Drosophila melanogaster: one gene and its partners. The protein of the gene in region 4 interacts with the protein of the main gene of each other region in a pairwise test. Each region holds a gene or a part of one and is shown on either strand. Other genes may lie near its edges. The genes, in order: Rnf146, Tsf2, CG31415 and CG6845.

Region 1 (7,944 bases), about 19 Mb from region 4:
TTCTACATAAACAAAGATGACTCATACCCACAGAGGACTGATCTCTTTGGAGAACATGTTAGTGGGTGGGGGCTTTTCTACATCGTGGAAAATACTTAGCGAATTCAGCGATCAATTGTATATTTACATAGTTAGAATTTCCATAGCATATATTCAGCGATCAATTGTATATTTACATACTTAGAATTTCCATAGCATATAATATTCATAATAAATGTCTCTACTATGAATTGGAAAAGCATTATTCTATACACGAAATATTTCGAAATTAACAACTTATTATTATGTTACGTACATATGTATAAAAATATTACCTTTATCACCCATGATAACAGCATAACGCCATAAGTATATAAGATCTTTTTGTCGCGGTGTATCCTTACCAATCACACAATCCACTTTTCCCTTCTTAGAGCCACCTCCCCCCTTCCACGTTATCAACAAATACCTTTTCTTGTATGTTCTGACCAATAAATTGTTATGCTGCCTGCGTGCGGCTCAGGCGTTTTCTTTTGGTCCATTGCGCATGAGTCATAGGGTTTCACGCATTTGAGGGACACCGAGGGCCAGTATCTCCCAGGGTTCCAGTTCCATGTCCAGGGTGCAGGTTCCATGCCCGTCAATCAGTGCCACTTGCGAGGGGGAGGGGGTATATGATCTCAACACAAGAATTGCCTTTAACAAGTCTAAGTTAAGGGTAGTTGAGGATCATTGAGATAAGGATCTTGTTGGTATTGTTGTGAGAACAATAATAGTGTATCAATGGAAGATTGGAATATCTCTTTCTTTTGTGCTTCAAAATAATGAATCATTTTGTTTAATATCTATTTGTTAGGAAAGTTATTTTTTTCACTTTGCCTTTTTTAAAAAAGGAATCCAATATGGTCAATTGGTTATAACACACTTTCTTTTTAAAGCTGCCATCATGGAAAACCTTTTAAATATGTTCCTCAATGTACGCAGTTCTGATCTAGAAATTTAATAAAGAACTGAGTTTCTTGAAATAAAAAATGTAAATATTTATTACTTCCATTCGCAGACAAGCGAGCATTAAAATAATATTTCACAAAGGTTTTGTGGTTTTTTTTATTGCCCAACTTAAATACATGTCCTAGGAGCTATTCTTACAAATGTGATCTTGCACAGAAGCCAGATCTCTAATCGACATTTATCGGATTCAGCAATATCTATTACTTAACATCTTGTATAAACTAAGTTGTAAATGCTTAATTCATTAATTAAATGTAATTATATTAGACGACAGAAAATGCTACGTGCTGTTTATTAGAGTTGCCTTATCAGTGCTGTCAAAAATACCGGAGCGAGTGCTGTTCAATAAATGTTTCTTGGCACATTTGGTTTTGATTTAATTGTTGAAAAGCTAAATGATTATTAAGTACGAATCGAATTGTTTAGAAACTGCCACCATAGGATAGGAAAACCATATCGAAAAGGCTCTGTATTCCAGATATGCAATGCAAATGATTGTAATTAAGACCATTTCATTCATTGTCAGTTATGGAATAGCAAATGTTATCAAAATCCAGTAAAATGCGCAATGGAAAATGCCAGAAAGTATTATGAGGTTGACAATGAGTTGCGGTGAAATCAATTTGAGGTTTAATTTTAAAACTGCTGTTGATATTACCAGGAGGGGCTTTTCGAAGTCGGGAGTCGGGTTCAGTAGAGCTTTAGGTATACCGTAGATATTAGGGAAGCAACGAATACGCACTTCGCTGTTAGAAGTAATGGCGGAGTACATATCGAAAACGAATCTATAAATAGTAGTCACAAAATTGAGATTATTAAATCGGGCGTATATCGTATCCGTAGCACATAGTTGTAGTATACAACATTAGGTCTGTCTAACAATTTTCCTTTAAATCTATTATTTAAAGCAACTTAGAGTATACAAAATATCAATATATTCAACTGTCACAGAAATGTTTTTGTTTAACGCACTTCACGGCGACTTAATAATTAATACTGCATCTGATTCCCCTGATGACAGTGCGCTTCGAAAACAGCTTGCATTAATTTAAATCTAAAAACTGTGTCAGAACATAGATACTGTGGAAAGTAAGTCAAATTAAACGATTCCGATTTAAGAAACGCACTGAATATCAATTATGTGAGTGGGAACTTCCTGCTAATTGAACTCACATGTCTAGTTAATCCCAATTCATAAATATTGTCTTTTTCACACTACTCTTTCTTGGTGGAGGAGCTTATATTTACTTTTGCCAGCTTGCAAATGAGACCATAGGGAGGGTTAACTTTCCGAATTCTTGTAGAACTCTTGATTTTGTAATTATTATGTACAGGTTAATTCAGAGAAATCCTATTCGGAGGTCTTACAGAGATTTCTTAGAGCATTACAGGCCACACAAATGGATTCAACCAATGCCACTGCTGTCCTTACCATTTCCTACTAAGAATACCATTTTTTTGCTTTAATTGGGTTAAGTTTGTTTGGGGAAAATTGAATATCGTATTAAATAGATTATTTATGTTTCTGCTGTAACGTCTATGTTTCAATATCTGATTTTATGTTTTAAGGAATATGTTTGTTTACCCTGTAGACATTCTTTTCTATTTTTTCTATTTTTCCTGTTCGACGCCCAACGCTCTGAGCCTATGGTTATATATGTTAGTTGATATATTCTCAGGTACGCGCTGCATTTCTCTAGTTAACATTCCCCTTCCGTATATCGAAATCTGCTTAAAGGAACATTTGATATTTTCTTTAAATGTATCGATTAGGCGAGCAACAATATAAGCTTTCTGGTAAGTAGATTATTTCTAAAATCTCTGGGGATTATCGTTGGACTGTGGCTGCTCGCCCGCCTCCAGCTGCTCCCGTTCCCGCAGCTCATGCTCCTGATCCTGGTCGTTGTTCTCCTCATCGCTGGAGTCAACATAGTTGCGCATGGCCAGCGCCTGGAAGTCGTTCAAGGCCTGCTCGAAGAGATCAATGGTGTGCTGGTTGTGGGCAATCACCTGTTGGGTGTTCCTCAGGTCACGCGTGATCAGATCCTGCATGGAACTTGAGGCAGGCGAGGAGGCAGGCGAGCGCCCTGCATCGTTTGAATTTGTGGAGTTGGATTGCTCACCGCTGCTGCTGAGATCATCGTTGAGATTGCTAGCCGTCAGTCCCCGAGTTAGTTCATCTGCATGAGCCAGCGTTGAGCCTATTATGTCGCTAGCGATTCTAATGGCCGCATCTGTGGCTGCTATGGTGGATATGAAACTGGAGGCAGCTGCTGCCACGGTGGTTGGATTGGCTGTGTTGGTTGGCCTGCTGAAGACGGTGTCGCTGGTCACCTGGTTGCCTTCGATCCGCAGACCGGCCACCCCCTTTTTGGGTATGGTGGCTAGGTCTCGCTTAACCCTCCGGCAGCGAGTGGGCTCATTCTGGCGCTGCTGGACTAGCTGCTCCAAGTCCACAATGTAGACGTAGCCGGCTACCAAAATTGTACAGGATTTGTCGCCCTTCTTAAAGGCATCTTCGATGTCCTGACTAGTGCGGTCATCGTACTGCCACCAACCTATAGTTAAACATTTTGACAAGAAAGAAAAATTCGGAATGGAATGGAATCGGTCCAATTCTTTTCGACGATTTGGTCATTTAATTACAGTTTGTTATTACGGAAATGGATGTGCGGAATGGGTAAGGAGTTAGGTGTTGTCATTAATTATTAAAGTGTTCTTGTATTTTTAGTTCTGGCTCAGTCCAGCAACTCCTCTCATTCCGCCAGAAACGTCATCCGTGCTCTTGCAGCGCATTATATTGCGGCTCTTTTCTGGAGTCAAGCGGAGATACTGTAAATTCTGCAAAAAGTCGATGATGTACATACGCCCGCAGATCTGAATGGGCAGTGTGCATGGATGCGGCCTAATGATGTTCAGCTCATCGGGGTCTAAGCTCATAATATCGTCCAATGATAGGGCTGGCGAGTCCCGACCATTGTTTTCGGAAGAGGCTGGAGCGCCCTGACCAGATGAACGAATAATGGTTGGGTATATAACAATTTCTGAATCGGCATTGTAGAAAATAATATTTTCGTCACACAGACAATAGTGATTGATAGGGTTTGGACAGTCCCGATCAAATAAAGGAGCAAGCTCAGGGTTATCTGCCTTGAATATCTCAAAGCCAGCATAGGCGATCTCGATGTCTGCATTGGTCCGAGAATCGTACGCCCACCAGCCCCCTAGATGGGTTTAGTGCGTGAAGGATTTGGGGTTTATGGGAATGAGGGACGGCCGGCACCAAAAGCTTAATTATACTCACCGTTTCTTCCCTCGTAATACCACTGGAAGCCGTCCTCGGTCGCGCGAGTGGTGCAGATGTCCTCAATGCCATTCACCAGCTGGGGATGGTCCAGGAACTCGGCGGGAATCTCGCGACGGCACATAGCACAACGGCGGTTCTTATAAGCAACACCCTGGAAAGCGTAAAATGACCAATGAGAAATTAAAATTTGATTCGACATCGCTATGTGTTGAAAAGCAATTGTAATTTCCTAACACATAAAACTTAACAAGAAGCGAAAATAATACATTTCAGAAAAGCATCTTATCATTAGCGTAAAAACGCAAAAATACGATCATACCAACCTAAGACCTTTACCCCACATTAAGTACACTGGAATAAAATATGAGGTCTTTTACCTCAACCAAAAAATAACAACTTGTGTTAAACGTTATAAGCATAGATGAAGTTTACAAAACTAAGGAAGTTGGAATCGCCTCTCTAAACCAACACTTTCCCACGACCAAACATGTTTCTGAACAGGAAAATGCACTCGAGTGCTAATTGGAGTGGTAGTCTTAGGCTAAAACTGGTTGAAATTGGCAGGAGATTGAGACCAATTGACAAGTCGTCAGCCGGAAGCCAATCTAATGCCATAATTTCTGGTCAGCCGTGTTCGGTTGGCATGCTAATCAATCAGTGAAACCAGCTGTCGCACCAAAGGGTTAAGAACAGCCTTGAACTTGGCTACGTGCTGTGGGTGATTTTGCTGATCGGGAATAATATTCAAGAAAAGCGAGTTTGAATGTGAATTGAATGACTAAGTGGCCACGAAAGGCTTCCGCTTTCGGCTTTCTGGGCTACCTACCTTCACGCACAAAAAGCAGAAGATGTGGCCACAGGGGAGACGAGCTGGGTGGATGCAGGTTTGCAAACAGATGGGACACTCCAAGGCAGCGGCCGCTGCAGAGGGGGAATCTTCGCCAGAAACGGCTGCCGCTAGAAATTGAGTTAATTGAAATAAGTTAAATCAAATAGAATAAGGATTAAGGGATATATGAATAATAACGATGCAAAAGTATAACTCTTGTGCTCTCAATAATATTATAGAATATTATTGTGCTAGTGAGTGCAAAATAATCTGTCATAATTCATAATTCCTTCTAGTATTGCTTTGAAATGCTTTTAGGAAGTCCTTCAAATTTGATTTCGTACATATGTATATGTACATATGCGTGTGTATGCGCTCTAGGAATAGTGCAAGTGTATCCTAAAGCTTTATAAAAGCAAAGGGAACTTCTTGTGGCGAAAGGCAACTTTGCTTACCTGCATCCACACCGGTGGCTAACGCTCCTTCGTCAGGCGAAGAAGCAAGTGAATCGGTATCCGAAGCAGCAGCTCCAGATGCGGATCCAACCGCCGGATCCTCGCCACTTCCGCCTCCTGAGTGGGCTGCAGCTGCCGCCGCCGCAGCAGCAGCAGCAGAAGTGGAGGGCGAGACGCAAAGATCGATGACTGGTGCGGTGGGACGCAGAGCTGCAACGAATTGCACATCCGTATCCTCGTCGTCGTCCAGCGCTATTACATCGCTGGTGTTGTTGTTGCTAGCTGCAATCTGCTCTGTGGAGCGCTGTTGCGACATGGTCGGATTGGATCGATTTCGTCAACAGCGGGGAAATCGAGCTGTTGTCGTCGACGTTGAGTTTTAAATTTTCACAAACAAACTTGAAACAAAAAATTGTTGCTGCCTGAGTATGACCAGCTCGGGCTGACTTTGAATTGCTAATGTCATCGACAAAAATACTACATTCGTTTCGGTATGACCGTTGACTGTATTTTCAGTGCTGCTAAGTTCTGAAATGGCGCCAATGAATTTATTTAAATATTATTTTCAGTCTTTGAAAAGTAGAGTCATTTATAGTTGCAAAATTGAAAACTTGTAATTATTTAAAAAAAAAGCTTTTGGTTATAGGATAATAAACTTATTTATTCCATTTTTAACGGTCAATAAAAGACCAACATTTAATAAAGATTATCCTAAGATAAAAGTATTTATAAAAAGTAAATTTTTTAAAATTTATTAAGCAGTTTATTATTTTATACATTTAACAAAGTACTAGAGAATGCCTTAAATCGAACTAACTTATATTCGGTCGAAAATATTTCTAAATTAATTGGCGCTGCTTTATTACCTGCAGCCGCCGCTTTAATAATGCTATATTAAATTCACAAAAACCAATTAAAATTATGCGCTTCATTACACGAAACACCTCTCGCAGCGAACTGCCATAATATTTATGTATGTATGTATGTATATCCCACCTTCATTGAGAATTTAACTTCATAAAAATTGACAGGCCTTCGGCCAGCGTTTTTGACCAGCGAAGGCATCACGCGCTTTTTAATATGCAGCCGGCGTGCGACAGGCCAAAAAAAGTGACACACAACAACAGGCAGTTGCAGTTGTCCTGCACAGGACCTTCGCACTCATTACATAAAAATCAATTTTTGGTTTATTTCTGCACTCGCCCCGCCCCACCACGCAATTGCATGTCATTTTTTGCCAATTACACCCACACCCGCACACTCGCGGCCAATTGCCTAATTGCGCGACGGCCAAACGCGTTGAAGTCAACTGGCGACGAGTTTTGTAAATTACTCTCGTTCTGCCAGCTTCGATCCTGCGACTCTGCGACTGCGAATGTGATGTCCTGCCGGGCTGTTTCATGCACGTGTCCCTTTGGGCGTTTTAAAAATGTGTTGCCCATCCTGGGATGCCACTCATTCGACGTGATTTGCCTTGGGGAATGTGTATTTACAGAAAGACAGCGAAAAAAGTATCTATAGTATCCAGAATTTAGACCACAAGTTTACCTGGTATTAACTCATATGCGAGTATTAAAGCCAATATAAATTACTTAATATTTAAACCATATTCCTTTGACACTAATACATTAATTAGTTGCTAGTTGTAACACAAAAGTATTCTATTATATTATTTAAACTATTAGCATCAGATTAACATGCAGTTTTACTTTAATTATGGTAATAGGAATATATATATATATATATATATATTTATTTTAATTAAATTTACGCACATCGACTCGAATCCAGCATACCCATCACTATATCATTCGAAGTGCACACACAGCAACTACTTAATATGCACGGCGAGTCCTTGAACTCTCGCCACTCAACCCTTTATCCTGTGTGCTCGTTTCGGCACTTGGTTTTTTGTCATAATTGTTCTATGTTGTGCACAATTGAATTTTTATTTGCCAGCAAACGATCGAGAAACAGAAGAAGAAATTTAAATGATGATTGCCGTGGCTCATTGTTTCATCGCTCTGTTGGTCCCAAAAATGTAAATAACCATAAAAAGTAACCCGCAGAAATAAAGGAGAAGAAAACCTCAAATCTTAATGTAATTACAACGGTGGACGCCTCAAGATTATTAACACAAAAGAGGGTCGTCATAAGCATAAAAATATTGCCCCCCCTCCCCAGCATGGCAGATTTCGTCAGCCTGTTTTTTTTTTTGTTACCATAAAAAAGGGCGAATAGAAGGAAATTTCCTGGCTGCCGCTGTTTGCACCCTCGTTTTGTAATAAGCTACTTTTGCATCTGGCCTATTGCTCTTTATTTTATCATTTGCTGGCTTGTTCCTTGCTCCCCCTTAAACATTT
Region 2 (5,783 bases), about 12 Mb from region 4:
CACTTGCCGCGAAAGCCAGCTGTTCCATATTGGATGGTCTCCTTGGAGGTCTTTGGGTACATCTCGCGGGCGAAGGCGTAGACGGTGCGCAGGTTAATAGACATCTTGCGATACTCGAGGGCGGTGCCACTGGTCCAGAGCGAGGTGAAAGGTTCCGTCCGGTTTTTCCGGACTTTCGAAATTTAACAATTCCACAGATGTGTGCAGGCGGGTGTGACCGTCGTTTCGCGGCACTGTTCCACCCTTGCTTATGCGGCCAAGCGGTCACACTGCGCTGAAACTTGTAACTACGCTATTTTCTTTAATTTCAAACATTTTACTGGCTTTATAAACAATACAGAGTGTTTTAAGGTTAAATGCAATATTTACCAGCGTAAATTTCAATAACATCTATGTTTCAAAGCGATGTTAGCGCACATATTCAATTTGAATTTGGCGGCTACAATTGCGGTCAAGATATTAGGATTCTTCAAATGATACTAATTCAAAATAAGCAAAATAACTCCTTTATCTAGTTATTTTATTTGTATACTTACATAAGCGGTTGTAAAAGATTCGGCTTACATCTCCTAGGTACATTTTTTGGACGGTCTTAGTTGGTATGTACACAAACAAATACTATAATAAGGCACAGGACTTTATAAATTATAAACTATAGCCTTCAACAGATATTTTTCGGCTAGTTAGAGTTTCATTTTCGGACGGAAGGGATTTCACATTTAACTTAATCATATTTGGAATGTAAAAATGTTGATATGTTTTCTCTTTGTGCTAGAGATGCTTGTAGAATTCTGAAATCTAAGTGAGTCTAGTGGCTTAGAGCATTGCAACCAGCGAACCCACGAGGAGCAGGCCCACGGATAATGCCAACTGGGAGGCACCAGCATAGCAGTCGGTGATGCGGCGTGCTCGCATAAAATCGCTGCCCAAATAGGCATCATACCTGCGCTTATTGGGCGGAATTACTTGCAGCTGCCGCGTGGCGTCCTGGAAGATCAGATCATAGTGCCCGATCGGCGAGGAGAACATGCTGAAACTGAAGGCGTCCACTTCCTTGCGACCGTACAGTTGTTGGGCATAGGTCAGCAGATTGATGTAGGCATTCATCTGGGTCTCGTTGTAGTTGACTCCGCCGCGGGTGACCACAGCATTGGCCTTAACCTTGCCCAGATTGCAGCGCTTGTAGTCCTGGATCTCGGCACGAGTACCATCCGTGCAGAGCAGCTCAAAGTCATCGTTTAGGGCATTCCTGGCCCACCATTCCTTGCGTTTGCCGCCCGTGCTTTCCATCACCGTGGTGTGCTTCATGAAGGCCACGTGACCGCCGCCCTCGACGAGGCAACGGAATGCACCCGTGTGCCCGTAGTATTCCTCGGAGGCATCGCGACGACAATAGCGATAGCTAGTTCCATGACACAGATCGCACATGCTGTCGTAGGGCACACCGGTGTTGTACTCATTGCTAATGGCACCCGGCACGCACGACTTGGTGAAGTACTCCGCGGCAGCTCGAACCGAATCGCATCCGTAGGGACGAATCCAGCCGTTCGAGATGAAAAGCGCCATCGGATATGTCCAGCCAGCGGCGGTGTTAATGCCCGTATGGCAGGTATTCTTACCCTTCAGGTAAGTTAGCTCCGTATCGGGATCATCCTCCTTGGCCACGGCAACCACATAATACTCGGGCTCGCCCAGATTGTACACCTCCGACATGAAGGGCACCAGGTCGTAGTTGAGGCCACCAGTGTAGACATCGCCGGCATCGAAAACGGAGATGTCTGCTTTGCCCGCTTCGATGAACTGCATGCAGTTGATGTGGGAGTGCATTTTCTTGCAGATGAGTTCTGGTTTCAGGAGGTGAGCTTTCAAGGCAGTCTAAAAGTGTTTTTGTAAAGGATCATCAACTCATCTTGCTATCCATATATTCACTCTTCAACTCACCCTCATCTTGATGCATTTATCAAGCTCATTCTCCGAAGTCACGCAAAGCGTCATCGCTGGAACTGGACACTCACGGATGCCGTAGATAAAGTTAATGGCAGGGCCTAGGTACTTGGTAAATGACTGATCATCTTCGGGAATCACGGTTAGAGCGCGACTAGAATCCTGTCACAAAACAATTGAATGTTAAGTATGTATTTCGGATCACGGAAAATATGATCCACTTACCTGGAACAGCAAATTTGGCTTGCCATAGCGCTTCGACTCGAAGATGCGGAACTTCTCATAGAGTATGGAAGTGTTCGTGCCGTCCTGCTGGTTTCTTTCCTCTGCAAAACTGCTGTCCAATCGTTCGCTGCGATACTGATCGTATTGATTCTGCGTTCTGTACGGATCATTATTATCGAACTGGCCATAGGCATTCTGATCGTTGATGTTGTTGCGGCTGTTGAAGCTTTGTCCTCCCTGCCTGCTCTGATCATCACGTGTGCCATCGGAGTACAGCTCGGCAATGCGCTTCAAAAACTGCTGATACTGCTTGCGATCGCTGAAGCTGCGAGCCGAAGATGTGACAATGGCATCGGCGGGCACTTGGCCCCAATTACACTGGCGATAATCGTTGATGGAGGCACGACGACCATCACGACACAGCAGCTCAAAAGTGTCGGGTGCTATGTTCTCTAAAAAACGCAGCTTAGATCAGTAATGGGTTTTCAGAAGTTTCCCTTTGGTAACTCACTGAATTCGGTGGTTTGCAGCATTTCATTCACAGTCGAATGGCGCAAGAAGGCAACATCTCCTTTTTCAAGCAGACATTTGAAGGCGCCTTCGTAGCCGAAGTAGGGATCTGCAGATGAGCAGCGTCCTCCGGGTATCTTTCCAGTGCAAAGCGTACAAAGTCTGGTTTGAAAATTGATTTGTTGTTAGTTAATGTGTGTAAAATTGTGGCTTTTATGCGTCATTACTTATCGGAGTTGTCGCCAATTGGATTGTGTTTGTCGGAAAGCGAGTACACAGCACACGAATTATTGAAATAGCTGGCGGCCGTCTTCACCTGGTTGTTGCAGTCCACCACTTCCATGCCGCCCTCCCTTTGGAGCTGCAAAACGATAAAATTTGTTTGTTAGTTGCCTAATGAAACAAATAAACAATCAACTTAAAAGAGGAGTTCTACTCACCGTGTGAATGGGCACAATCCAACCGGCCAAGCTGCCCACCCAGGGGAAGCACACCCTCTTGTTGCGCATGTCGCGCAGATTGTTCAAGTCTGGTAGAGATCCCTTCTTGATCACGGCTACGGATTGATAGTCCGCAAAGCCGCCCTCCAGTTTCTCCTGCATAATGGGTATGAGGGAGTTGTACCGTCCAGCAGTGAAGACATCGCCCGCATCCAGCGTGGTGATGTGTGCCTTCTCGCGATCAATGTGATGGATGCACTCATCCGCACTGTAGGCCATGAAGCAGGTGAGATTGAGGAACACCTCGTCGAATAGTGCCCGATCCCGCTCGATGGCCACCGTAAGGTTCTGGCATTTGTACTGCTCCGCCTGGCTCTTGGTGCACCACACCATCCGTGTGGTCTTGTGCTCATCGTAGTGATGTTGTGCTGCAAAATCGTGGTTTTAACTCATGCCAACGCCCTAGAAATGGGCGACTTTCGTATTCCAGCCGCAACTTACCGTTAGCGAGCGTAAAACATAAGGCGCCGACTAGAGCCACAAAAACGAGGCTGCTAGCCATATTCGGGATATAAGAATATTAATAAGTGTATTAACTAAAAAGATCTATCTGCAAAAACAATTACTCAAACAAAACACCACACCCAAGCCCAGCTCAAGGAAGCCAGTGTAACCAGAGCGGGCAGAAATAGACATGATTTCAAAAAATACCAACAGGTACACACAGTGGAGAATGCTTAAGTGAGATATGAATCAAGAAACATATTTAGCATTCAGGATATTTCTAGTTTAATCTATACCTATATCTATTTTTATTATATATACAGTAATCTTGTTTATTTATATTTTACTTTCTATCAGGTTATCTCTTCTGTAGTATTTACTGCACTTCACCGGTGACCACAGTAGTGTGACCACACACTTGGCGTTTTCTAGCATCTTACGGTCAACCAGGTGTTTTGTGTTTTATAATAACAAACCGAAAAGTCAGCTAAAATATTCCATATTTTAGCTAAATGGCAGTCCTGCGTGGTTGGAGATTCGTTGGATTCGTGTCCTGCATCGTGGGCGCCGTGGGCCTCACCCTATACCCCGTCATTGTGGACCCCATGGTTAACACTGAGAAATACAAAACCCTGCAGGAATACAGCAAAATCAAGAGAGATGAACTGCAGCACATTAAAAGGCAGTAGAACCCCCTGTTATGCTACACTTAAGAACCCAAATATGTGTATTCTAGTTTGCCTGATAAAGAACTGCAATGTACAAATTGCTATTAAAATAGAAACTATTTGTACCCTGACAGCATGAACTCCATGAATTAAACTGTTACCTATACATGCAGGAAAATCCAAATGATTGTGCTTGAATGTTTATACTCTCATTGTTTTAAATAGTAAACCTAACGTAAAAGGCAATTCAAAACATTAATTTTGATTGCACTTGGATTCCGGAACTGGTTCCCCTTGCCGGTGCATCGAAAGCTTTAGGGGATTTCTCACCACTGCGTTGCCGCTTGTAAAATTCTTTATCTCGAATCATACGTGGACATAAATATCTGGATATTAAACACCTGCTGATTTACCACAAAATTTAAATGCAAAATGACCACCGCCGCATTGAAGCGTGATGAAATCCTGCTGCTCTTCGACGTGGACGGCACGTTAACGATGCCCAGATCCGTGGTCACTCCGGAGTTCGAGGAGTTCTTCTACTCGCGGGTTAAGCCGAGGGCGACCATCGGAATCGTCGGAGGCTCGGATCTGGAGAAGATGTTCGAGCAGCTGAATGGCAGGAAGATACTCAACGAGTTCGACTTCATATTCCCGGAAAATGGGCTGGTGCAGATTGAGGGCGGAAAGGAGGTGGGAAAGCAGAATATCATCATGCATTTGGGCGAGGAGACGGTGAAGCGTTTCATCAACTTTGTGCTGCGCTATCTGTCCGAACTGGATGTGCCCATCAAGAGGGGCACCTTTATCGAATTCCGGAATGGCATGATGAACGTTTGTCCCATTGGCAGGCAGTGCACTCGGGAGGAGCGCAACATGTTCGCCGAGTACGACATTGAGCACAAGGTGCGCGAGAAAATGATCAAGGACCTGAAGCAGGAGTTTGCCGATGTGGATCTCACGTACTCGATTGGTGGTCAGATCAGCTTCGATGTCTTCCCGCATGGTTGGGACAAGACCTACTGCCTGCGACACATCGAAGCGCACTACAAGTTCAAGGAAATCCACTTCTTTGGCGATAAAACGGAGCCGGGCGGCAATGACTATGAGATCTATAGCGATCCTCGAACCATCAGCCATAGGGTATATACTCCCAAGGATACGCAACGCATTCTCACCGAGATTCTGGAGCTGTGAGAATTTCGAGCTTACTCAGCAGTTGAAAATATTCCATTTTTATACATGTGTACAATTGTTAACCAAATTTAATATATAGTCACTGGAAATTCTTAATCCGTGTCCATGTCCGAGCTGCTGCTGGAGATATCCTCCTCGCTGCCACTGCACTCCTCGTCGGAGCTGCTGCTGTCGCTATCCTCCCATTCGTGGCCCTTCAAGCTATTGGGGATTAGCACCTTCCATTCCAGTTTGTGCAAGTCCAGGGCGTAGAAATCGTTGTAGGTCAACTGCTTGTCGTCCTCTTCGAAGATGC
Region 3 (3,285 bases), on a different chromosome or scaffold from region 4:
AACTTTGGGAAGATGGAAGACGATACTGCAATAGACGAAAGTTTCTATGAAGAGCCTGACGACGAAGAGCAGTTGGATAAGTGTAAGTAAACTTCAGTTTGCACTAGGGCTTGAAATATGATCGTGCGGATATCGCTGTGTAGGGCAATTGGGTTTCAATTTATAAAACTTATTTATGAAACTTTAATTTATAATACAAAAACCAGATCTTAAGCAAATAAATTACAATGCGGTGATTACATTTAAAAGTTATATCGTATTTATCAACTCAAATACCTTTGTTTCAATGTTCTACTTCCTGTTTTTATTGCAGCTTTATTATACGTTAAGTAAAGTACCCAAAAGTAAATGATGCTATTCTAGGAATAAAGGATTACAACTAATGCAATTTAACAAATTATTTGCAAAAGCAATTGTTTTACTTCACCGAATGAAGGGGTGTTTAAGAACATCAATTTGTGGACAAAACCAGTTATTCTTTATTGCCATTATTTATGTCCTACTAGAAATAAAACTTGGAAAAAAAAAATTGTTTACTGCAAGCAAGCTATATTTGTATCTTTCAAAAGAATTTGTAAAATTGTAAATAAAACTAAAAAATATTTTACACGCAAGATATTGGATCGCGAAATAGGAACATTAAATACCTAATTATGTATTTATAGATATAATCATCCTGAAGCTAAATCACATATTTTATTCTCGCTTCCAAATTGTTTGAGGAAGTAACTAATTTAAAATGAGGCGTTAAAACAATTATAATTCTTTAAGCGATAAGTTAAGAACTCTTATAAGATAATTATACCTTCTTCGCCGTCTATTAACATTATTAATTAAGACCAGTAGTCAGAAGCAATTAATGAAAAAATAATATGTTAACCTCTGATTCTTGTACTGTATTCGTGTAAAAAAAGAACATTGTTTTTCTGAAAATAAAATGAGAGCATTGACATCCGCCATATACAGTAGAAAAATACAAATTTGATGAATACGATTGTTATACACGTACATTTTATTGAAATTTAGGTGATTTGAAGTGGAACCGAATTTTTGTATTTATCCGTAGAATGTATGAATCATTGTTCTTTACGTCGATGTATTCTGAAGACTTTGGCATTGGAAGCTTTGGATGTAATTTGCTAGGGATGGGTTCCCAACACGACCGCTCACTGGTCAGATCCTTCGGCGATGCTTCGCAGTATCCAATCGGAGAAGCTACTCACCAGGGTGTAGACCCCCGGAATGGTGGTCACGCCGCACAGCGTCGGTCCAAAGGCCACGATGCCGATGATCGTATAACGTCCACTTGTTCCAAAGACGCCGGAGGTACCGTCGTCCATAAAGGGGCCGCCACTATCGCCTCGGCACACGTCATTCATGGGCATTCCCTGGGCGCACAGGTGGTTGGGAGTAATCACAATAGGCTGCTGGAAGTTCTCACTGAGACTGGCATAGGCGATGGCGCAACTGGTGGTGTTCACGATGGGCAAACGGATGAAGCGCACCCCAGCGGTGGAGTTTGAGGGGTCCATCGAACTATTATCTGGATAAAATTTGTAGTAGAGAATGTTATATACATTTAAAACCTAATATGCACTGAATTATATTTCGATCGCATTGATAGTAAGTTAAAAAATGTAACAGATCAGATATAAAGTTGTTTCGAGACTAACTTTCAGTACTCCCAATACTCCAACCAGCAGCCACTCCAATTTGTCCTATCAGCCTGTTTCCCAGTGTGATTGGCCCGTTGAAGGGTAAGCATATGGGTGTGAAAGTGCCTGCAAGGTTGGTGGTGGTTATTCAGCGTAATCATTGACCTAGGATAGGAGTATAATCTCTTACCATTAGTGCTGTTGATTCGTAGGAGGGCAATGTCATTTGCATACTTGGGCTGGTCGTAGTTCGGATGAACTATAACCTGCTCGATGGCAAACGGAGTCGCCCCATCCTGACTTCCCAATCGAACATGGGACCTACGAAAGAGCGTGGATTACAAAAGATTTAATTAGGCTTTAGACTTACAGTTCCAAATCGCTGACTAGGTTGACCACACAGTGGGCGGCAGTTACGATGTGGTTGCTGGATATCAGGGATCCGGAGCAGCGAAAGCTAATGCGGCTGCTGCCTGAAAATATTATCGTAAAACTTCTGTAAGAATAAAGATTTTTTCTTGTTTTCAGCTCAACATGTGCGCTTGCCCTTGTTCAGGAAGAAGTCTACCACCTCAGAGCAACAACCCTGATTCTTGCCCAGCTCCTGGCTCACGGGGCGGTCCAGGTGCTGGTGGAGGTGCCCCTGGTGCCGGTGGAGGCGGCCCAGGTGGTCGTGGAGGGGGCCCGCCCCAAAAGCGTGGAACGTGTGGCCCCAAACCTTGCGGCGGACAGCAGTGCAATAAATGCGGTAAGGGAGGCCCTGGAGGAAGAGGTGGCCCTGGAGGAAAAGGTGGTGGCCCTGGAGGAAGAAATGGCCCTGGAGGTAGTGGTGGTCCCGGAGGCAGAAATGCTCCCAATGGCGGTGGTGGAGGCGGAGGAGGACCTTTTGGGCTGAGTGCCCCACCAAACAATCGCGGACCCAAGGCTCTGGGACTGGCTGCTCTGCTCTTTGCCGTCGGCGTCTACCTTACATTAAAAATGGTTATTGTGGCCAGTGAAATTGGATGAGCGCAGACAGGACGGCATTGGGCCCGGCTCAGATCTCCAATGCGGAGTAAGTTTAAGAGCATTTAAGAGGCGTTGCGTTGGGTAAAATAAATTCGAAATTGCGTATTTAGCCTAACATAAGATGTACTTACTTCGGTTGCGATAAGCGATCCTTGTCAGCCAGGGAAACTGTCCGGCACTAGCCTGATCTCCTCCCAGCAGTCGGCTCTCTACATTTATCCCACATCCTTGGGTGTTCTCCTGTGCGAAAGGTGGCATCGATGCGGTTGTTGTGGATAAAGAAGCAGGAATTGTTTCAATTGGTGTAGCTAATGTTGTGGTAAACGGCGCCAGGGGCGGACCTTGATCTATGTTGGAGTCAATTGCCTCCTCTCCCTGCCGCTGGAAGCGTAGGTCCCCGGGAAATACTATGGGCTTATCCTTTGGCACGGGTCGCAGTAATGTATCCCGTTCTTCGTGCTCCACATGATACAGAAAGTGGTGTCCCAAGGCGAACCGTCGGTCGAAGAACTCTGGTTCCACGGGCTGGGGACAATTGCGTTGTTCCTCGAAGTTCCAGTAGTCATGCAGATTGGTCTCCGCTTCCAGATAATCCCCGTGTGTGTGGGAGTGCCGGCTGCCC
Region 4 (5,131 bases):
ATGAGCTCCATTGTTTTTCGAGTGTGTGTGGTTGACTGTCAACGATGGTGGTCAAGTGGATAGGGGTCGATATAGGGTCTAGAGGGATCGGTGCAAGTCGACGGGTGTTATATAATAAATGCTCGTATAAGCTTGGTAAATGGAAGCCGCATGTGGGGGAAGAGCAGAATTTATTAAACAGTCGTAAAGAGAAAGTCAACAATAATGAGAAGATGTTCAACAGCACGTTACAGTCATAGCCCAAGAAGAAATAAAAATAGGTATCAAGCAAACAAGCCTTTGATAAAAAAGAAAAAATCGAAAACAGGGGTGAGAACAAGGTTATTTTCTGAATTGCTGTGTAGCCATTTGTCGCTGTAGTATTTAATTAAATAATAATTTCAGCCCAGAAGCTCGCCAAACAACGCAGTCCCCGTATTGCGACTTCCATGGGCGGTGAAGGGTAGGAATTGCACTGACATCAGATCAGCAATAACAAGAGTTATTTTTATTGAATAACTCACCTATAACCATATATTAAATTGTTGGAATATCAGGTATTTAATAGGTGGAAATATTATATTTCTGAGCTATCTGCATAACGTGTATGCGCTCACAACCTCTATGTTTAACTGTTTTTCCCTCGTTGCTAGCGTTGTCCTCCACAGGTCTTCCTGTACTGCCTTTCGCTAAAAGACTCTTTTTCAGAATAGTCCGAAGAGTCGCTGCACAAACAAAACCATTAAGAATAGTCGATTAAACCCTGGTTTTTACTCACTCTACTTCAGTAACGTCGGAAAAATCACCATAATCCACTGGTCGATTGCACAGACAACACTTATTGTGTGACTTTTCAAAGCATTTACCGCAATAAACCCCTTTGCATCCAGGAGTGTCGCAGGGGTTACGATTTGAACTAAAAAGGGGACATCCAACTGTAACCCGGAGTGTGTTTAACGATTGGAGTTACTTACAGAGTCAGAGATCGGCCACATATGGTGCACCTCTCAGTGCTTTGACAGGATGAGCAGCAGGAGCACATGCACATTAAACAGGAGAATCTATTGTTCAGCCAAGTGTAGTTTCTGGTGTGCTTCACATTCCGTGTGTGGTTAAACTCATTACGCTTTCTGCGGCGGATAAACTTAAAAATGCTTGCTGGAGAGAATACATTAGAACAACTTTAAAAGGTATGTACTTTCTTACTTCTATCTTCGGAAATCATGTTGTACAGAAACATGCCTCTTTCCTTGGCGCGTTTTGGATAAAAGTGGGCCATTATAAGATGGCGAGTACGCAAAATATACGGCTCGGCCAAAAGGATCAGCCAAGCGAGCAGACAGAGTAATAATATAATTAGATACTCCGCATAATCAGGTTTCACGGGCAGCGGGAGGCAAGGATTCACGTCTAAAATGCTTTTTTGCGTCAAGGGTCGAAAGGCATTAGCGATTCCCCGCATGACATCCGCCACAAAGCCCCCACCCTTAATCTCTAGATCGACGTAAGCGGGCACCTCCAGCCCAGTCTCTTGGTGGCCATGGAGGGATATAGTTGCCAACAGCCAGAACAGCCCGTAATCCAGAAAGCAAATCGCAAACAACTGCAAGCAGGTTGTGGCCATGAAACAGGCGTTCTCAACAATGGACACGAACTCAAACAAAGTCAAACGCAAGCTAGTAAGCTGCAATGAAATCATTGTAATATTATGTCAGGGAAACGTAGGGAAACCTTACCTTCATATACTTTGCCCTTTCAAGCTGATGAAGGGGTAGCAGTGGATCGTAACCGTGCTTTTCGTGCCGCCGGTCGATATCACTTAGTATCTTTGTCAAGAACACATTCTGAAATTGCCGGCTGTGCATATATCGAAGGTAGAAGATGGTGGCTCTGATGGGAACAATTGAGGCATCACCAACACTAAATTAATAAGATGATTAAGCTCTTGCCTACTTAAAAAATACAGTAACCACCATGACCCAGCAGAGAATGTCCACAAAGCTGCTCAAGAAGATAAACGACGACAGACGCTTGTTAATATCCTGTAAAATTTCCTCCCCCACGTCCGTCAGGCTCTTTGAAGAGTTTGTATCGAAGAAAAATTCGTGCTCAAAAGTGATATTGGCATCAAACATTTCCTCGATGTGCCGCACAAATTCACGGTAGCCTGCGAGATCGTATAACTAATAACCAAAGTACCGATCGTTGTTTACACTCTCACGTTCTGCGATTTTATCAAGAAGACCCCAGCTGAGATCCCAGTAACCGCTGCAAAACACATCGATGATCTTGGCTGGATAGCAGAGGGCCAGAAACAGCTTTGCAGCATGGCATAGCGCCTTGAATACGCCCATCTTTGACTGGCACCTGATCATTGCGTGATGCGCCGTCTTTTTGCAACGTGCCCAGGGAGTGCCCATTTCTGTGTTGCACAGGTCTACGATGGATTTCAGCCAAGCGGCGCAGTTCTTCAGGGTTTTAACTACAAAAATGAATCAGCAGAGAAAACTGCAGCACTTTTTAATACAGATACTCACTAATTGCGATCAATTGGTCCTGAATGCGTAACAGCACTACCATGGCCAGCTTGAGCACCCGACGCACTTCCCGCATCAAGAGATCCACCGCTAGCTGGATGGCATTCACCGGCTCCAGTATTACGTCCAACATCTGGCCAAGCGCCTGACGCAATAGCTCCTGTCCGCAAGCGAGGCTGCGGAGCATCACCTTCAAATTGGCTAGAATGTTCGCCGTAGGCCCAACTGCGGCAATAACAAAGGCAAGGCTGATGAGGAACGCCCTTCCCCGAGAGCTGCACAGCGAGGGAAGGGCCAAAGTCACAATGCACCTGGCAGCCAGTGAGGGAACACTGTTAGACACAAATCGTTTTGGGCTTTTTCAGGTAGTTCTTACCTTACGGGCCTGCTGTAAAAGACCGCCAGAACAAGCGCCACCGGAATCGCGAAGGTGAGATTAAGACCCAGAACCAAGTGGCCCAGCTGCCACCAGTTCCATGCGAGCGTTACCGCGAGGCCGCATAGGTAGCCGCCAATTACGTATGGTGCCACCAGCTTGAATGTCCACATAGCGCCATACCTTGGCTGACTTTCTTCCATGATTTTATTTTGATCGATTTCTTTGTAATTTATTTGTAAAGTCTAACACAACAGTCGGAATCGATATCGATATTTTCTCTTGGCGCCCCACTTAGTGTGACCAATTTAAATGTGAGTTTTCATTGTTATCGGAAATGTGACCCTTCTTAAAATCGAAAAGCCTATTGTTTGTTGTTTTTGGCTTATCCGATTCATTTTTGGCGCCCAAAAAGAATTTAAAACTTAACCGATTGCTTTTTCTGTTTTTCGCTTTTTTGTTCCTTTATTTCAAACAACATCATTTTTTCTCTTTCAAAATAACAGTTATTTTTGATTTATATATCTTATAAAGTTACGTCGTGTGATCTAAGCGAGTTTCGGATTTGAAATGCGTAAAACGCATCGCTGCATTCAAATCCAATATTAATACTATTCAACGAATCTATTTATTATAATATAATGAATAATAAAATAAAAATTATAAAAACATAAACATAAAATAAAATTATATGTAACTAAATAATAAGAAAATAAACAAAAAAATAATTTTTATTAATATTTTTCTCAAAATGATCAAGTTATTTTGGAGCTTCAGGTTTTTATACAATTATGATAAAAATAAATATATTAAATACTCGTACTGAAAGAATTCGCATACACTTGCCCCTGGTAAAATTGGAATACTTATTGATTAAAACATATGATGATTTTAGTATTCCACTAATCGTCCTACAGGTTTACCTATGCACTTTTCGATTTTATGGGTCTTTCCGTTATCTCCTCTTTTTTCTTTTTTCCTGTAGGCTATAAAAGGTAAAAAAGGCTTCTGGATTTGAAGCGCAATGCATTTGCAATTATTTTAATTAGGGCAAGCCCTTTTTGGATTGCAGAAATAGAGCTGTCTTTCTATATCTTAGCCCTGTTCACTGTACTCTTTCTTCGATTTTAGGTACTGCAGCACAAGCGTAGGGTAGAACAAAGTAGTCAGGTCGTTTTATGTGTATCTTACGTAGATTTTGAAACCTATTGAAATGTTGTATCATTTTGCAACGTTGGATACTGGGATACGCGCACTTATTACCCAATCAGTTAGATATTGCCAATTGTAATAACCAAACGAACCAAAATAAAAACAAATTTTATCGTAATTTTGTTACTTTGAAATGTTTTTGTATTTTTCTTTAATTTTTCCTGTTAATGATACGTTCCTTTCGCTCGATTATCTTTTTTTGTTTTACTCGTAATATATTTTTTATTTTTACATGCTTCTCTTTTTTGACATTCTTGTTCTGGTACTCATATATAGATAATATATAATTTGTTTAAATATTTATTTTACAGATTTCTCTCACTATCAGTGGCTCTCCGTTCTATGACATCGTTTAATAAATCGTAATTTTCGTTTAATTTAATTAATTGTATACTTATGTGTGTTGTTGCATATTGCGTTAATTTTAATTTACTTAGGTCGCCAAAAATAATTTACTTAAAAGTAACAAAAAATTAAATTATGTTTAGATGTATATCGACCAACGGCGATATGTATGTACAAAATGTATTTTTTGCTTTCTTTCAACTTCGACTCCTTACTCTACACCTCTGCTCATCACTTAATTACTGTAGCTTAAAGGTAAATATGGGAGGGGATGGGCGCGTTCTAGTAGTAGCAGTGGTAGCAACTTAGACATTTACAACATTTAACTAATTTGTTTCAAGAAACTTTGCAGTCTGTCTTACATCTATTACATATATCTTTGTATAAGACTTGTTTTACACACATTCAATTGGAGTCAGTTGGAGAGACAACGACCGCCAATCTTGACAATCTTTGAACGACTGTTGAGTTTTTAGTGGTAGCCCTTACAAAATAAAAATATAATTTAAAATTCGTTCTTTTATTAGGGTAGCTCAAGTCTTATACATTTCATTATAGGGCAAATAGGTAAACGAAAAGCATAATGAGAATGATAAATAATGATAATTAGCGTTAAACTGTATATTAGAATTACCTAAACAGTTGAGCGTGAAGCTGGAAAAACACCGATTTTGTGACATCG

Evidence for each region.
Region 1: the proteins of CG6845 (region 4) and Rnf146 interact in a two-hybrid assay, tested with the Drosophila melanogaster proteins (one large-scale study listed by BioGRID).
Region 2: the proteins of CG6845 (region 4) and Tsf2 interact in a two-hybrid assay, tested with the Drosophila melanogaster proteins (one large-scale study listed by BioGRID).
Region 3: the proteins of CG6845 (region 4) and CG31415 interact in a two-hybrid assay, tested with the Drosophila melanogaster proteins (one large-scale study listed by BioGRID).

The regions. Positions count from the first base shown.
Region 1 is NT_037436.4:19,636,771-19,644,714, forward strand, and holds Rnf146 (ring finger protein 146), read right to left. Parts: upstream 6,047-7,944; 5' UTR 5,898-6,046; coding exon 5,582-5,897; intron 5,255-5,581; coding exon 5,124-5,254; intron 4,449-5,123; coding exon 4,295-4,448; intron 4,215-4,294; coding exon of another isoform or gene 3,718-4,214; exon of another isoform or gene 3,589-3,717; intron 3,549-3,588; coding exon 2,803-3,548; 3' UTR 1,776-2,802; coding exon of another isoform or gene 1,681-1,775; 3' UTR 437-1,680; downstream 1-436.
Region 2 is NT_037436.4:12,529,932-12,535,714, forward strand, and holds Tsf2 (transferrin 2), read right to left. Parts: upstream 3,794-5,783; 5' UTR 3,682-3,793; coding exon 3,621-3,681; intron 3,548-3,620; coding exon 3,120-3,547; intron 3,041-3,119; coding exon 2,907-3,040; intron 2,842-2,906; coding exon 2,681-2,841; intron 2,622-2,680; coding exon 2,170-2,621; intron 2,107-2,169; coding exon 1,942-2,106; intron 1,876-1,941; coding exon 817-1,875; 3' UTR 505-816; downstream 1-504. Other genes in the region: nst (nesthocker), read right to left, coding at 4-104; CG34242 (uncharacterized protein), read left to right, coding at 4,136-4,312; Pmm2 (phosphomannomutase type 2), read left to right, coding at 4,724-5,488; CG4069 (uncharacterized protein), read right to left, coding at 5,581-5,783. UniProt on the Drosophila melanogaster protein: Iron-binding protein and component of septate junctions that form the paracellular permeability barrier in epithelial tissues.
Region 3 is NT_033777.3:9,741,887-9,745,171, forward strand, and holds CG31415 (uncharacterized protein), read left to right. Parts: upstream 1-1,630; 5' UTR 1,631-1,673; coding exon of another isoform or gene 1,674-1,781; intron 1,782-1,845; coding exon of another isoform or gene 1,846-1,976; intron 1,977-2,025; coding exon of another isoform or gene 2,026-2,128; intron 2,129-2,183; 5' UTR 2,184-2,189; coding exon 2,190-2,663; 3' UTR 2,664-2,776; downstream 2,777-3,285. Other genes in the region: Pnn (pinin), read left to right, coding at 1-82, 314-333; CG34409 (uncharacterized protein), read right to left, coding at 1,167-1,543, 1,674-1,781, 1,846-1,976, 2,026-2,128, 2,795-3,285.
Region 4 is NT_037436.4:144,468-149,598, reverse strand, and holds CG6845 (uncharacterized protein), read right to left. Parts: upstream 3,167-5,131; 5' UTR 3,096-3,166; coding exon 2,893-3,095; intron 2,828-2,892; coding exon 2,517-2,827; exon of another isoform or gene 2,462-2,516; coding exon 2,201-2,461; intron 2,147-2,200; coding exon 1,933-2,146; exon of another isoform or gene 1,870-1,932; coding exon 1,716-1,869; intron 1,664-1,715; coding exon 1,186-1,663; intron 1,138-1,185; coding exon 954-1,137; intron 896-953; coding exon 758-895; intron 705-757; coding exon 629-704; 3' UTR 543-628; downstream 1-542.